Linked DNA regions of Pelodiscus sinensis. The protein of the gene in region 2 purifies or fractionates together with the protein of the main gene of each other region. This does not show direct contact. Links are inferred from orthologs where the notes say so. Each region holds a gene or a part of one and is shown on either strand. Other genes may lie near its edges. The genes, in order: DDX5, SMARCA4 and CREB1.

Evidence for each region.
Region 1: the proteins of SMARCA4 (region 2) and DDX5 purify together in Homo sapiens (affinity purification with western blotting; 3 studies listed by BioGRID and IntAct, with this or other methods). This does not show direct contact. The link is inferred for Pelodiscus sinensis from reciprocal best matches to the Homo sapiens genes SMARCA4 and DDX5.
Region 3: the proteins of SMARCA4 (region 2) and CREB1 purify together in Homo sapiens (affinity purification with western blotting; 3 studies listed by BioGRID, with this or other methods). This does not show direct contact. The link is inferred for Pelodiscus sinensis from reciprocal best matches to the Homo sapiens genes SMARCA4 and CREB1.

Annotation. Positions count from the first base shown.
Region 1 is NC_134730.1:20,752,989-20,757,160, forward strand, and holds the start of DDX5 (putative ATP-dependent RNA helicase DDX5), read right to left. Parts: upstream 2,781-4,172; 5' UTR 2,609-2,780; coding exon 2,583-2,608; intron 1,197-2,582; coding exon 1,031-1,196; intron 817-1,030; coding exon 720-816; intron 638-719; coding exon 504-637; intron 359-503; coding exon 293-358; intron 1-292. UniProt on the Homo sapiens protein: Involved in the alternative regulation of pre-mRNA splicing; its RNA helicase activity is necessary for increasing tau exon 10 inclusion and occurs in a RBM4-dependent manner. Binds to the tau pre-mRNA in the stem-loop region downstream of exon 10.
Region 2 is NW_027465894.1:296,907-301,078, forward strand, and holds the start of SMARCA4 (SWI/SNF-related matrix-associated actin-dependent regulator of chromatin subfamily A member 4), read left to right. Parts: upstream 1-1,715; 5' UTR 1,716-1,886; intron 1,887-4,172. UniProt on the Homo sapiens protein: ATPase involved in transcriptional activation and repression of select genes by chromatin remodeling (alteration of DNA-nucleosome topology).
Region 3 is NC_134717.1:75,875,800-75,879,971, forward strand, and holds the start of CREB1 (cyclic AMP-responsive element-binding protein 1), read left to right. Parts: upstream 1-1,055; 5' UTR 1,056-1,260; intron 1,261-4,172.

The DNA.
Region 1 (4,172 bases), on a different chromosome or scaffold from region 2:
AACAAGTACCCTCAAAACCAGCCATCTTTTGACACAGGGGGTTATGCCCTCAAGCTAATCCAATTTTGGGAAGCACACTTTGAATTCTTCAGTCTTAGAGGACAGTCTATACAATGCACCTAAGCCTGATGGACTAGCTAAAACATGAAACTGACTACTTGCAAGGTTTATAATGATGCAGCATTCAAGTGCCTAACTTTTCTACTCAATCCACATACTCCAACCCCAACAATTTGCATTTAAGAAAGCCAGATTCCTCTAAAAGAAAAGAGCTTCATATTCTTATACTCACAATAGGTCCATCTCCTCGCTCCAGGAATGGCTGATGATTTATATGCACTATAGCAGGCAACAAGTACTGTGTGAAAACAAAAACTCATGTTATACATACATATATCTAAAACACTAGGAAATGTAACTAGATTTGCAGTTTTATGTATTAGTAACACTTTGAACATGGAAATGCAGTTACATAACCTGAACATTGTAAAGTTACAACTTACGGACAAGGTTTTCCCAGATCCAGTCTGTGCTACTCCAACCATATCCAGTCCACTCAAAGCAACAGGCCATCCTTGTGCCTGAATAGCAGTTGGTTCAGTGAAATTCTGTCCCTGAATTACTTCCATAACATTTGCTGCAAAAGAGAACCAATGAATTAGATGCTTGCATTCATGATGTCTGAGTGAACCCCTGGATATACAGGTATCTGTACTCACCAGGAAAGTTAGCTTCATAGAAATTTATAAGCGGTTTTGGACAGGTATGGCCCTTCACTGTGATTTCTTTGCTTGCTCTGTACTGTTCAACCTCTTGCTGCAAAACATAATTACATTAGCATTATTTAAAGCTTTATCTAGAACAAAATTGCAAATTGACTGAAATCAGTTGTATTCAAATGAAGTGTAATAATTTCTCTAAACTTACTGATTCATATCCCACATAATAAGTCGTCAAGTAAAAAGCACATTAAGTGTCAATTCCTGCACAGATAAACAATTTTAATTAAGCAAACAGCCAAGGTACATACCACAGTGCGTCTGACTACATCAGGATGCTCTTGATAAAAATTCTTCTCAAATTTGGGCAGTTCATCTAGGTTCCATTTCTTTTTCGTAAGTTTTTCTCCAGGGTTTCCAAATTTCTTTCCAGATAATGGTCCGCCTCTGCTTCCTCCAAATCGAGGGCCACCAAACCTAAAAAATTATTAGCCATGAAAATGTTTGCAAAATGTAACAGTCTCTTATGTGACAGTTAACTCACTTCCATAGTCAGATCAATGCTAAAATTCTCAATATAGCTAATTCCTAATTTGTGTTCATCAATATTTGGAGAAAGCATTTAGCTGCCCGTTTTCACTTCCAAAGTATAATAAAAGCCACAAGCAGCAGATTAGGATTAGTCACCAAATACCTAACACCCCAGATAAAGGAGCACCTAATTTTCTAAAGCATTTAAAATGAATCGCTGGAAACAAAAACAAGGCTAGCCCTAACGCCTTGGTAACAGAAGTGACACTCCCAGTGTGCGTCAGAGATTGAAGAAAGCCAGTGTATGCCCGTGGGTGGGGCGTTATGAAATCTAGAAACATTCTCGTAAGTGGGTGCCTATGGGATGCTTTTTAATTTAAACAAGCGCAACGAATTCGGGTAAGGAAACAAAACCGGCCGCAAGACGCTGGGTCCCAAATAAAAAGCGCATCGGAGTCCCTTCGACGGAAAACGATAAAATCACCAGCGCCCCCAAATCCCGTTCAGCCGCCAAGTACGCACCCCCCATCTCACAACTGGGCCAACGGGCACCGTGAAGGGTTATTCGCCCCTCCAGGCCCCGTCCCCATCCACCCGGGCTAGGCGGCGAAGTGCCCCCGCCCCCGCGGAGAACATGGCGGAGCGGCAGCCGCGGTTTCCTTTGTTTCTCATTTCTGTCTACGCCACATTTTCCAGCCGCTGCCATTTTAGAGGCTGGGCGGGGAGGGGGAGGAACAAAGGCAGCAGCCGGCATTTTGATTTCCCCTCAGTCACCGCATGGCGGGGCCGGCCATTCACATCCGCTTACACAACACAAAGCAAGAGCCGGCCGGCTTTAGCCCCAGACGCCATCTGCCCAGGGCGGTTCCGGAGCGGGAAGGGGGCAGTTTCGGTCACCGGAGGGGCGCGTGCACGACCCGTTAAACCGCCAAACACGGTTCCGACTGCCCGAGCCACCAAACCGGGAGACCTGGAGCCCGAGCAGCGGCGGGGGGAGGGGCGCGTTCCCGAACTCCCCCCCCCCCCCCCACAACCCGGAGCCGACGATCCCCAACCGTCGAGGGCAGATTGCTCAGCCGAGTTTGTACTTCACCGGCATTCGGTCACCAGCCCCCGGGCTCGCCTACCACTCTCCCCCCCCCCCCCCAGGTGCCCCCGACTGCTGGGATCCGATGCCATCGCCCCCCACCTCCGCAGTCAGCGGCCCCTCCCGCCATTCGCGGATCGATGGAGAGGGCGCCCATCCCCGCCGCCATTTTACATGGTTCAACGGCCGGTAGAGCCGTTCGGAGGAAACACGGCGGCAAGCGCCGGCCGGGGCCCCAGACTCACCCTCTGTCCATGTCGTATCCAGGCATAGCAATGGCGGCGGCGGATGAGACGAGCCCGAGCACTGAAGCGAGAGGCAGAAGGTACGGGAAGGTCAGGGACTGCAGGCGACTCTAATGAATGGGGAGCGTCGAAGCGCCCGAACGCCGGTTATATAGCCGGCGCCCCAGGGAATGCTGGGAACCGGGTCGTGACGCGAACTCAGAACCCTTCCCTCTGTCCTGCGTCAGAGACCGAAGCAGCCGTATTCCCCTCCCCCTCCTGTGGGCGTGGCCGCGAGCGCTAGGTTCTCGACTTCTCTTTTGCTTCGCCGGCCGGTTTTTACCCTCGCAGGCGGAAGTTCCCCTTTCCACTTCGGGCGTGGCTCGCGCTACAGTCACTGCCCGGCATCCCCGCCCCCTTTCCGTTTTCCAGGCGCGTGCCCAAAGCCCTCGAGCGGCGTCCTCCCCTCCCCCTAACTTCAGCCTTTCGCGCCCACGCTTCTCAGAGCGCGAGCCGCCCGCGCCTGCGCATTCCTGGTGGTGTCATCCCCTCCCCCTCATGCTCCGTTGTTGTCATCAGAGGCCTACTGTGTCCTTTGTAGCCCCTTTATGATGGAAGAGGAGCGGGAGGGGGGCATTAACCAGCTGGGGCGCTGCACAGTCCCTCTCTCTGCCCCGAGGCTGTATAGGGGAACCAGCCCACTCTCATCAAAAGGGCATTGCCCCCAACAGCCCCAGGTTCTGACATGGCTGTTCCCTTCTCTCTCTCTCACACACACACACCTAGTAAATGTGACTCCGCAGGTGGTTCATGATCGTTGGGAGTCAGGAGCTTTGTTTTATGTAGAATCCTGGGACTGGGGCTGAAGGGGACCTTGAAAGGTCATTAGGTCCACAAACCTTCAGAGAGGCAGGATAAACCCAGATCATCCCTGACAGGTGTTTGTCCAGCTTGTTCTTGAAAGACTTTAACAGTGACAGCCCCCGGGGAAGCCTGTTCCACTGCTTAACTGCTATTTGGAATATTTTCCTGTATCTTGCTGCAGACCAAGTCCATTACTGTGTCTATGGAGAACAATTGTTCATGGTCCTCTTTCTAAGAGCCCTTTAACATATTTCAAGCCTGTATCAGGTTTCTCTGTCAGTTTTTTTCTCGGGAATAATATGCCCAGGTTTTAAAACTTTTCCTCACCGTTTTTTTAAATCTTTGTATAATTTTTATTGATCTTCTCTGGCCTTTCTCCAATTTACCTACATCTTTCCAAAAGTTTAGTACTCAGATTTAGGCACACTACTCCAGCTGATGCACCACCATTGTGAAGTAAAACAAGACAATTAACTATAGTGTTAGCTGCAACACTATTTTAATACAAATTGCAGATTTATATTAGCTTTTTTCTAACTACATCACCTTGTTAAAATGTTCAATTTGTGATCATGAGAACCCCAGATCCTTTTCAGCAGTACTACTAACTAGACAGTTCCTATTTTGTAGTTGTGCATTTAATTTTTCCTTCCTAAGTGAAATATTTGCAATGTTTTTATTGAATTTCATCTTGATTTCAGATCAATTTTCCAATTTGTAAAGGGAATTTGGAAATCGTATCCTCTA
Region 2 (4,172 bases):
CTTCCTATCAGCATTCAGCCCCCATCCCACCGGCTTCCTCCATCATTCCTTGGCCACTGTCCCCTCTTCCTCATGAGCCCCCTTAGCTTTCCCTGCCCATCAGCCCCCCATTCTCCTCCCCCACCTCCTGAGCCCCCTTCCTCCTCCCCCAGACCCTCCCTTTCCTGTGCCCTCAGCTTTCCCTGCCCATCAGCCCCTTATTCTCCTTTCCCCCTGAACCCCCTTTCCCCTCCTATGGCCCCCCTCCTCAGCCCTTCCCCTTCTGAGCTCTCTCCCCTTAAGGGCTCCCTGAGCCCCCCTTCTTCCTGAGCCCCTCCCCTCAACCCCCTCCCCCTCCTGAACCCCCTTACTGAGCCCCTCCCCTCAACCCCCTCCCCCTCCTGAGCCCCTCCCCTCAACCCCCTCCCCCTCCAGAACCCCCTTCCTGAGCCCCTCCCCTCAACCCCCTCCCCCTCCTGAGCCCCCTTCCTGAGCCCCTCCCCTCAACCCCCTCCCCCTCCTGAACCCCCCTCCTGAGCCCCTCCCCTCAACCCCCTCCCCCTCCTGAGCCCCTCCCCTCAACCCCCTCCCCTCAACCCCCTCCCCCTCCTGAGCCCCCTTCCTGAGCCCCTCCCCTCAACCCCCTCCCCCTCCTGAGCCCCCTTCCTGAGCCCCTCCCCTCAACCCCCTCCCCCTCCTGAGCCCCCTTCCTGAGCCCCTCCCCTCAACCCCCTCCCCCTCCTGAGCCCCCTTCCTGAGCCCCTCCCCTCAACCCCCTCCCCCTCCTGAGCCCCCTTCCTGAGCCCCTCCCTCAACCCCCTCCCCCTCCTGAGCCCCCTTACTGAGCCCCTCCCCTCAACCCCGTCCCCCTCCTGAGCCCCTCCCCCTCCTGAGCCCCTCCCCCTCCTGAACCCCCCTCCTGAGCCCCTCCCCCTCCTGAACCCCCCTCCTGAGCCCCTCCCCTCAACCCCCTCCCCCTCCTGAGCCCCCTTACTGAGCCCCTCCCCTCAACCCCGTCCCCCTCCTGAGCCCCTCCCCCTCCTGAACCCCCCTCCTGAGCCCCTCCCCTCAACCCCCTCCCCCTCCTGAGCCCCCTTCCTGAGCCCCTCCCCTCCCCTCATTTTCCCCTGCCCATCCCCTCCGCCTTCGAAGTTCCCTCCCCTTCGCCGCAGTGGCGCCCGCAATGCGCATGCGTGGCCGCGGCGGCGGTTTCCAGCCGGTTGGGAGGAGGAGGCGGCTCGCATCGCCAGCGCGCGCCACAAGGACGCGCGGACGCAGCTCGCCCCCTCCCCCTTATCCCCGCCCACGACCGCTCGAACGCTTCCTTCTCCCTGCTTCATTGGCTGCGGCAGGCTGGAAGGCGTGAGCGCGAGCCGCTTTCCTTAGCTCCCATTGGCTGATCGCGACGACTCTCGGCCGCAGGCAGGGGAGGGACCAGCCAGAGGTACTTGCCCATTGGTTGCAGCGCCGCCAAGGTGGGCGGGGTTAGCTTGGCTCGTTCTCACACCATTGGTCGAGGCGCGTGTCAGCTGTGCTCCCAGTGGAGGAGGGCGCTTGGCGCGCCGCCCACCTTGCCCGAGGGAGGGGCGGAGCGCGAACGCCCCTGATTGGCTGTGGCACGCAGACGCGAACGCCAAGGCGAGGCAGGGTCGGGAGGGGGCGGGCGGTGGCGCGCGAGCCCCACCGGGGCCTTCCCATTGGCCCAGGCTGCCGCCCCGCGCGCGCGCTGGAGCCGGATCGGGAGCGCGCGCGCTGCTGCTGCTGCTGCCTCCCGCGGGGGCGCGCGCTAGGGGGAGCTCGAGCCGCGTCTCCCTCACGCTCGCACAGTAGCGGCGGCTCCTTTGTCCCGCCGCGACGCGACCCGGCGGGGATGGAGCCCGCGAGCGGCCCCGCGAGGGGCGGGCACGGTGAGCGCGGGGAGGGGGGGCCGGCGCCCCATTGAATGGAAGGGCGGGGGGGGCTGAGGGGCTACGGCGGCCCGGCAGGGTCAAGAGGCCTCCGCGACGTTCCCTGCGCGAGAGCTCGGCCGCCCCCCCGCGCGGGGACCCTTCCAGCGTCCTCCCTGCCCCCCCCGTGGGCTGTGCCCCCCCGAGCAGCGCCCCTCCCCCATCCCCGGGGCACAGCTCCCCCCTCGCCCCTCCCCCATCCCCGGGGCCCTGGCCCCATCGCGGCCCCCCTCCCCGGGGCACAGCTCCCCCTCACCCGCCCCCACCCCTGGATCACTGGCCCTCCTGGGTATCTCACCCCCCCAGTCTCTGGAGAACTGGCCCCATCATGCCCCCATCCCTGGGGCAGTGTTCTCCCTGAGCATCCCTCTTCCCCCACCTCCCAGGGATGGGGGGGCAATGTGGGAGGGGTGATGCTCAGATGATGCCCCTGGGATCGGGGGGTGATAGGGGATGGCAGTGCCCCCCCCCCCCGTGATCATCTCATTTCTGGTGTACTTGCCCCCATGAGCACCTCTCCTTTCATGAGCACGCCATCCCTGATGTACTGCACCCTGTTTGCGTTTCCATCCGTTCTGGGGCTCTGGCCCTCCATCAGCATCTGCCCCTCCTCAAACATGCTGCCCTTATCCTTTAGCATCAACCCTTCCAGTCACCCCAATTCATTAACAGCCCTCTCTTTTCTTCCCAGAATACTTCCCCACCAAGGGGTTGTGCCCCCCCCTTGCTAATCAGCCTCTTTCCTGCCCCCTTTCTCCCAGAATCTCTTTGCTTCCACCTTGCTATCATCCCACTCCACCCAAGAAAGCTGTCCTTACCTTACTCCTCAGCATCTCCCTCTTTAGGCTGGGGTGCTTCCTCCTTATTGTTCAACATAAGTATCTTCTATCCTGTTTAAACTAGTTCCCACATCAATATCCCCCTCTCCCATTTCCGTACCTCATTTTGTGGATCCTGCCCACACTACCATCATCTGCCCAGTCCCAAGGAATTGTGTTTTCCTATCTCTTTTCTCTAGCCCATGGAGTTGCTCTACTCTATTCTCAAGAGCTATGGTCCCTCCTCCTTCCACCTTCTCTTTCTTTGGAGAATTGGTGATTTGAGGGGGTTGGCCTTAGATCCCCCAGGCTTACAACATCCTGGCTGGATTCCCTACACATTCATATATTTATTATGGGAAAGGTTCAGATTTTCCACCTGCTCAGGACAGAGCCACAAGAAGAAGCCAATCACTTGTGCTTGCAGGATGGTCTATAAATTCTCTCTCCTAGGAGTACTTCATTGCTCAGGCTCTGACTTCCTGGAGAGATACCAAGGTTCTCATGTGCTGGGGGTGGGGGGAGGTTGAAAGGAGCAGGATTAGCTGCTGCATCAAATAGGCACATAACCACAGACAGCTCCACATGCAAAGTCCCGCTGTCAGATGTATTGGGGAAAGGAGGTGCAAAAAATTGCCTCAATTCCACTCAGCTCATTGATATGAATTTGTGGGTGATGATGTTTTAAAGAGGATTTGCTCTCAAAGCCTATTAATAAGCACCCCCTTGCTCAGAGCATCCCCCATGGTTTCCTGACACACAAAGCACATTTAAATATGAATGGGTCTCTATGTAACACAGCTTCTCATTAGAAATCATTTGGAAATAAAGGGAATATTTACTGATGCCCCAATATTCTAATGGAGGGTTTTAACTGTTCTCTTTCATCTCCTGTTTTGGGGCAAATTTGTGCTGCCTTTGATGGTCACAAATCAGTTAACAATGTAGTCTATTGTTTTAAGGCAGAGGCTCTTTGTTGTATTTTGTATAACTGTAATAGGTTTTTAACAACTTTCCTTAAACATTGTCTTGCACACTTGTTTTTGTGGTGTTTCTGATGATCATTCATATAAAAAGTATCTTTTAATATTAAACATTTACAAAATGCTACATATTTTGAAATGATGGAGGTTTTGCTGTATGTTAACTTGACCCAAATGTAAGCATAGTTGAAGTCTGAGACTTTTAACTATAGATTTAATAATACCTAGTTCTAAATAATATTAAATATTTTTTACAAATTTTCCCTTGTTCCCATCTTTGAGTGATACATTACCCTAAGTATCTCAATTTCTGTTCTTCATAATTGTTTTATTGCCCCTAATATCTTGGCATCATCTTTATTTTAAAGTGTAACCCAATTTGCTGTATGTCTCCTTCAGAGATAGAGGAGCGTGACAGATTTGAAATGTGCAGGGAGGGTTACTTC
Region 3 (4,172 bases), on a different chromosome or scaffold from region 2:
CTCCAAGGCAGTCCAGAAGAGAAGGCGGTGGGGCCACCAGACCAGGGCTCCAAGGCAGTCCAGAAGAGAAGGCGGTGGGGCCACCAGACCAGGGCTCCAAGGCAGTCCAGAAGAGAAGGCGGTGGGGCCACCAGACCAGGGCTCCAAGGCAGTCCAGAAGAGAAGGCGGTGGGGCCACCAGGCGGTTCTGCGTGGGGAGGGAGGGCAGCGAGGGAGGGGCCTCCCATTCCTGGAAGCTGGCCCAGCTGCCCTACGGCCCTGTTGGGGGAAGGGGAAGGAGGCTGCGGTGCGCGTGAGGAGCAATGGGAGGGGGCAGAGCTTCTTCCCGCACGCTGGTGTCCCACCGAGCAGTGAAATGTCTGGCAGGGCTTTCCAGGGCATTTCACTACTTCATGGGGAGCCGGGGCAGAGCATTTAAATTTGGGACTGTCGTGGAAAAATCGGGACAATGGTCCGCACGTCTATAGCTCAGGAGTGTGGGTTAGCAACTCTAAGTGCTACAGCTCCATCCATCTCCATTGCCGGCATTTATCACCAGTCCGAGGAGAAGCTGCCAAGGGCACTCCTCCGAGAGGGGGGCTTGCACCGGCAAACCCATCACACACCCGAATCTGCCATTCGCCCTCTTGGCTACAGGGCACTGACTCATCTCCAGCCTCTCATCCGCTGGAACCGCCCGGTCGGCGGTTCGGCCTTTTCCGCTCCCGCTCGGCTGTTTCCGTGCCTGGTCGGGCACCCCCGCAGCCGGTCGGCGGTTCGGCCTTTTCCGCTGCCGCTCGGCTGTTTCCGTGCCTGGTCGGGCACCCCCGCAGCCGGTCGGCGGTTCGGCCTTTTCCGCTCCCGCTCGGCCCTTTCCGTGACCGCCGCGTGTTCGGCCTTTTCCGCTCCCGCTCGGGTGTTTCCGTGCCTGGTCGAGCACCCCCGCAGCCGGTCGGCGGTTCGGTCTTTTCCGCTGCCGCTCGGCTGTTTCCGTGCCCGCCGCGTGTTCGGCCTTGTCCGCTGCCGCTCGGCTGTTTCCGTGCCCGCCGCGTGTTCGGCCCTGTCCGCTCGCGCTCGGCAGTTTCCGCGAGGGGCCGCGGCGCGCTCGCGCTCGCTCCCCGGCTGGCGCTCAGTCGGCCGCTGCCTGTCGCCGGGCTGGGGGAGCCGTGTGAGTGACGCGGCCGAGGTGTAGTTTGACGCGGTGTGTTACGTGGGGGAGAGAATAAAACTGCGGCGAGAGCCTAGGCGCAGCGAGAGCAGTGACGGAGCAGCCCGTAACCGGTAAGAGGAGGACGGCGCCCAGCCGGGGGGGGATGGAGCCGGCGGGGCGCAGGGAGCAACAGGCGGCCCGGCCTGCACCGCCAGCGGGAGGGGCGCCCGCTTTAAAGATGGAGCCGCGCCGAGCCCTGCAACATCCCCGCCGCCGCCGCTCCGAGCGCGGCGAACAAAGAGCAATGGCGGCGGGACCGCTCTGGCTGCCAGCTCGGCGCCGGGCCCCGCCTGGGCCGCAGGGACCCTCCGGAGAGCCCGGCAGCCGCTGTCCGGGCAGCGTGTCTGGTGCCCCTGGCCCGGGCTGCCCCCACTCAGGCTGGTCCTTCCCCGCCGCGGAGCCCGCTCCGGCCCCTCGCCGCCTCCGAAACCCGGGCCGGGCTCCGCGCCCCCGCCAATCCCGGCCCCGCCGCACAGCCCGCTCCGGCCCCTCGCCGCCTCCGAAACCCGGGCCGGGCTCCGCGCCCCCGCTAATCCCGGCCCCGCCGCACAGCCCGCTCCGGCCCCTCGCCGCCTCTGAAACCCGGGCCGGGCTCCCGCCAATCCCGGCCCCGCCGCACAGCCCGCTCCGGCCCCTCGCCGCCTCCGAAACCCGGGCCGGGCTCCGCGCCCCCGCTAATCCCGGCCCCGCCGCACAGCCCGCTCCGGCCCCTCGCCGCCTCCGAAACCCGGGCCGGGCTCCCGCCAATCCCGGCCCCGCCGCACAGCCCGCTCCGGCCCCTCGCCGCCTCCGAAACCCGGGCCGGGCTCCCGCCAATCCCGGCCCCGCCGCACAGCCCGCTCCGGCCCCTCGCCGCCTCCGAAACCCGGGCCGGGCTCCCGCCAATCCCGGCCCCGCCGCACAGCCCGCTCCGGCCCCTCGCCGCCTCTGAAACCCGGGCCGGGCTCCCGCCAATCCCGGCCCCGCCGCACAGCCCGCTCCGGCCCCTCGCCGCCTCCGAAACCCGGGCCGGGCTCCGCGCCCCCGCTAATCCCGGCCCCGCCGCACAGCCCGCTCCGGCCCCTCGCCGCCTCCGAAACCCGGGCCGGGCTCCGCGCCCCCGCTAATCCCGGCCCCGCCGCACAGCCCGCTCCGGCCCCTCGCCGCCTCTGAAACCCGGGCCGGGCTCCGCGCCCCCGCTAATCCCGGCCCCGCCGCACAGCCCGCTCCGGCCCCTCGCCGCCTCCGAAACCCGGGCCGGGCCCCCGCCAATCCCGGCCCCGCCGCACAGCCCGCTCCGGCCCCTCGCCGCCTCTGAAACCCGGGCCGGGCTCCCGCGCCCCCGCTAATCCCGGCCCCGCCGCGGCTCGGTGCCCTCCCAGCCCGCCGCGCCGCGAATCGCGCTTCCTCCTGATTCCCGCCCCGATGGCCAGCTGGCCCGCAGCGGTTCTCTCCCCCTGCCCTCCAGAGTGGGCCGCCCCCGCAGTCACAGCTCCCGGAGCGGGGCGATGTTTTAATTCGTGTCAGACAGACCTCTCGAAAGGTGTATCTTTATTCCCTGAAGCATACCAAGTGCTGCGGCAGACAGCCCTGTCTTAAGGGTCAGCTCTGTTAACACACACTGTCATGTATTGCACAAGTATCTTGGATTAAAACTGAATTTGAAAAGCTCCTTCTCTTTATGCTTATTCCATTCTATTTGGATAATACACAGCCTACCTAGTTTCACTCATTTATCGTCGATTTCATTTTCTGACTGATATGGTACTGGTCCGGTAATATCTGGTTAAAGGAATTGTAACTAAACTATGTAGAAACGTATGTAGTATTTTAGTTTGTTACAGGACTAGTGGCGGGGGGAGGGGGGGGGGTTTCCAATAAAAGCTTTTCAAGAGTTTATTCTGGGGCAGACTTGATTTGATGGGCTCTTTTTAAAATGGGGTATGCACATGTTCAGAAGAAACTGTCCAGGTCTCCCAAAGCATTGCTTTTCATGGCAGTTCAATTGAAATAGTGCAGAGAAGCTAATAATCAAGATACAGATCTCTGCACCCTACTCCTGGTATGTAGCAGTAGGAAGATGTAATCTTGTTAATACTTCAATACTAAAAATGAATTTCCCCATAAGTGTAACTGTAGGAAATTTTGATACAGTGGTCAGTCTTGCAACTAACCTGCAGGTTTCTTAAATGAGAATGCTGCAGACACAATGATAGTTGGGTTGCACCTGTACTAAAACTGTATTATTCCATTATCCTGTTTTATATTTGATATATATACCACATTACACAATTCTGAAAAATATTTTAGGTATCTTACCCCCATCATTGCCATTCTAGTTTTTTATTCCCTGCAGCTTCAGTATCCATACTAGAAATTCTTAATTTTTGTTTTGTTTTTCCACTTGCTGTTGTACACTTCCTTCCTTCAACTTCTAGGATTCTGCATCTTGCACAGTCTTTTCATCTAATTTAAAGGCACAATGTTTTCAATTTTTTGGGATTAATGATACATACAGTGGTGCTGGAGCCAGGAGTGGGAGTGAGGGGAGGCAGTTGGTGGGAACATGGCCCTCCCGATTTATCAGCTTCCATCCTGGAGCTGCTTTTCCAATGCCCCAGAACTAGTTTGGAGGCCCATGCCCATGTTAAAAAGTAGAGTAGGATTCCAGCACCTTTGTGAATCCTATAGTAGGTTTAAAACTTTAAAAATTATGTGGTTTTTATGAAGTTTGTGTGGCTTATCTCTTCCCTCCAAAACTTTTTTTTTTTAAATATATAAACTCATGCTAGCAACCCAGTGTGTCTGGGTCGATGGCTAGATTCGCCCAGTATAAGAAATTAAAACTTCAGTGGGGGGAGGAGGAAATCAGTTAACTTAACCAGTGGTTCTTGTGTCTATAAAGCTGGAAATAACCTAGATTATTGAGTGTCTTCCGTTCCTGTAGAGAGAGAACTGAAAAAGGGTTAGAGTACCATGTGTTGATGGTGGGTTTGTTTTGTTT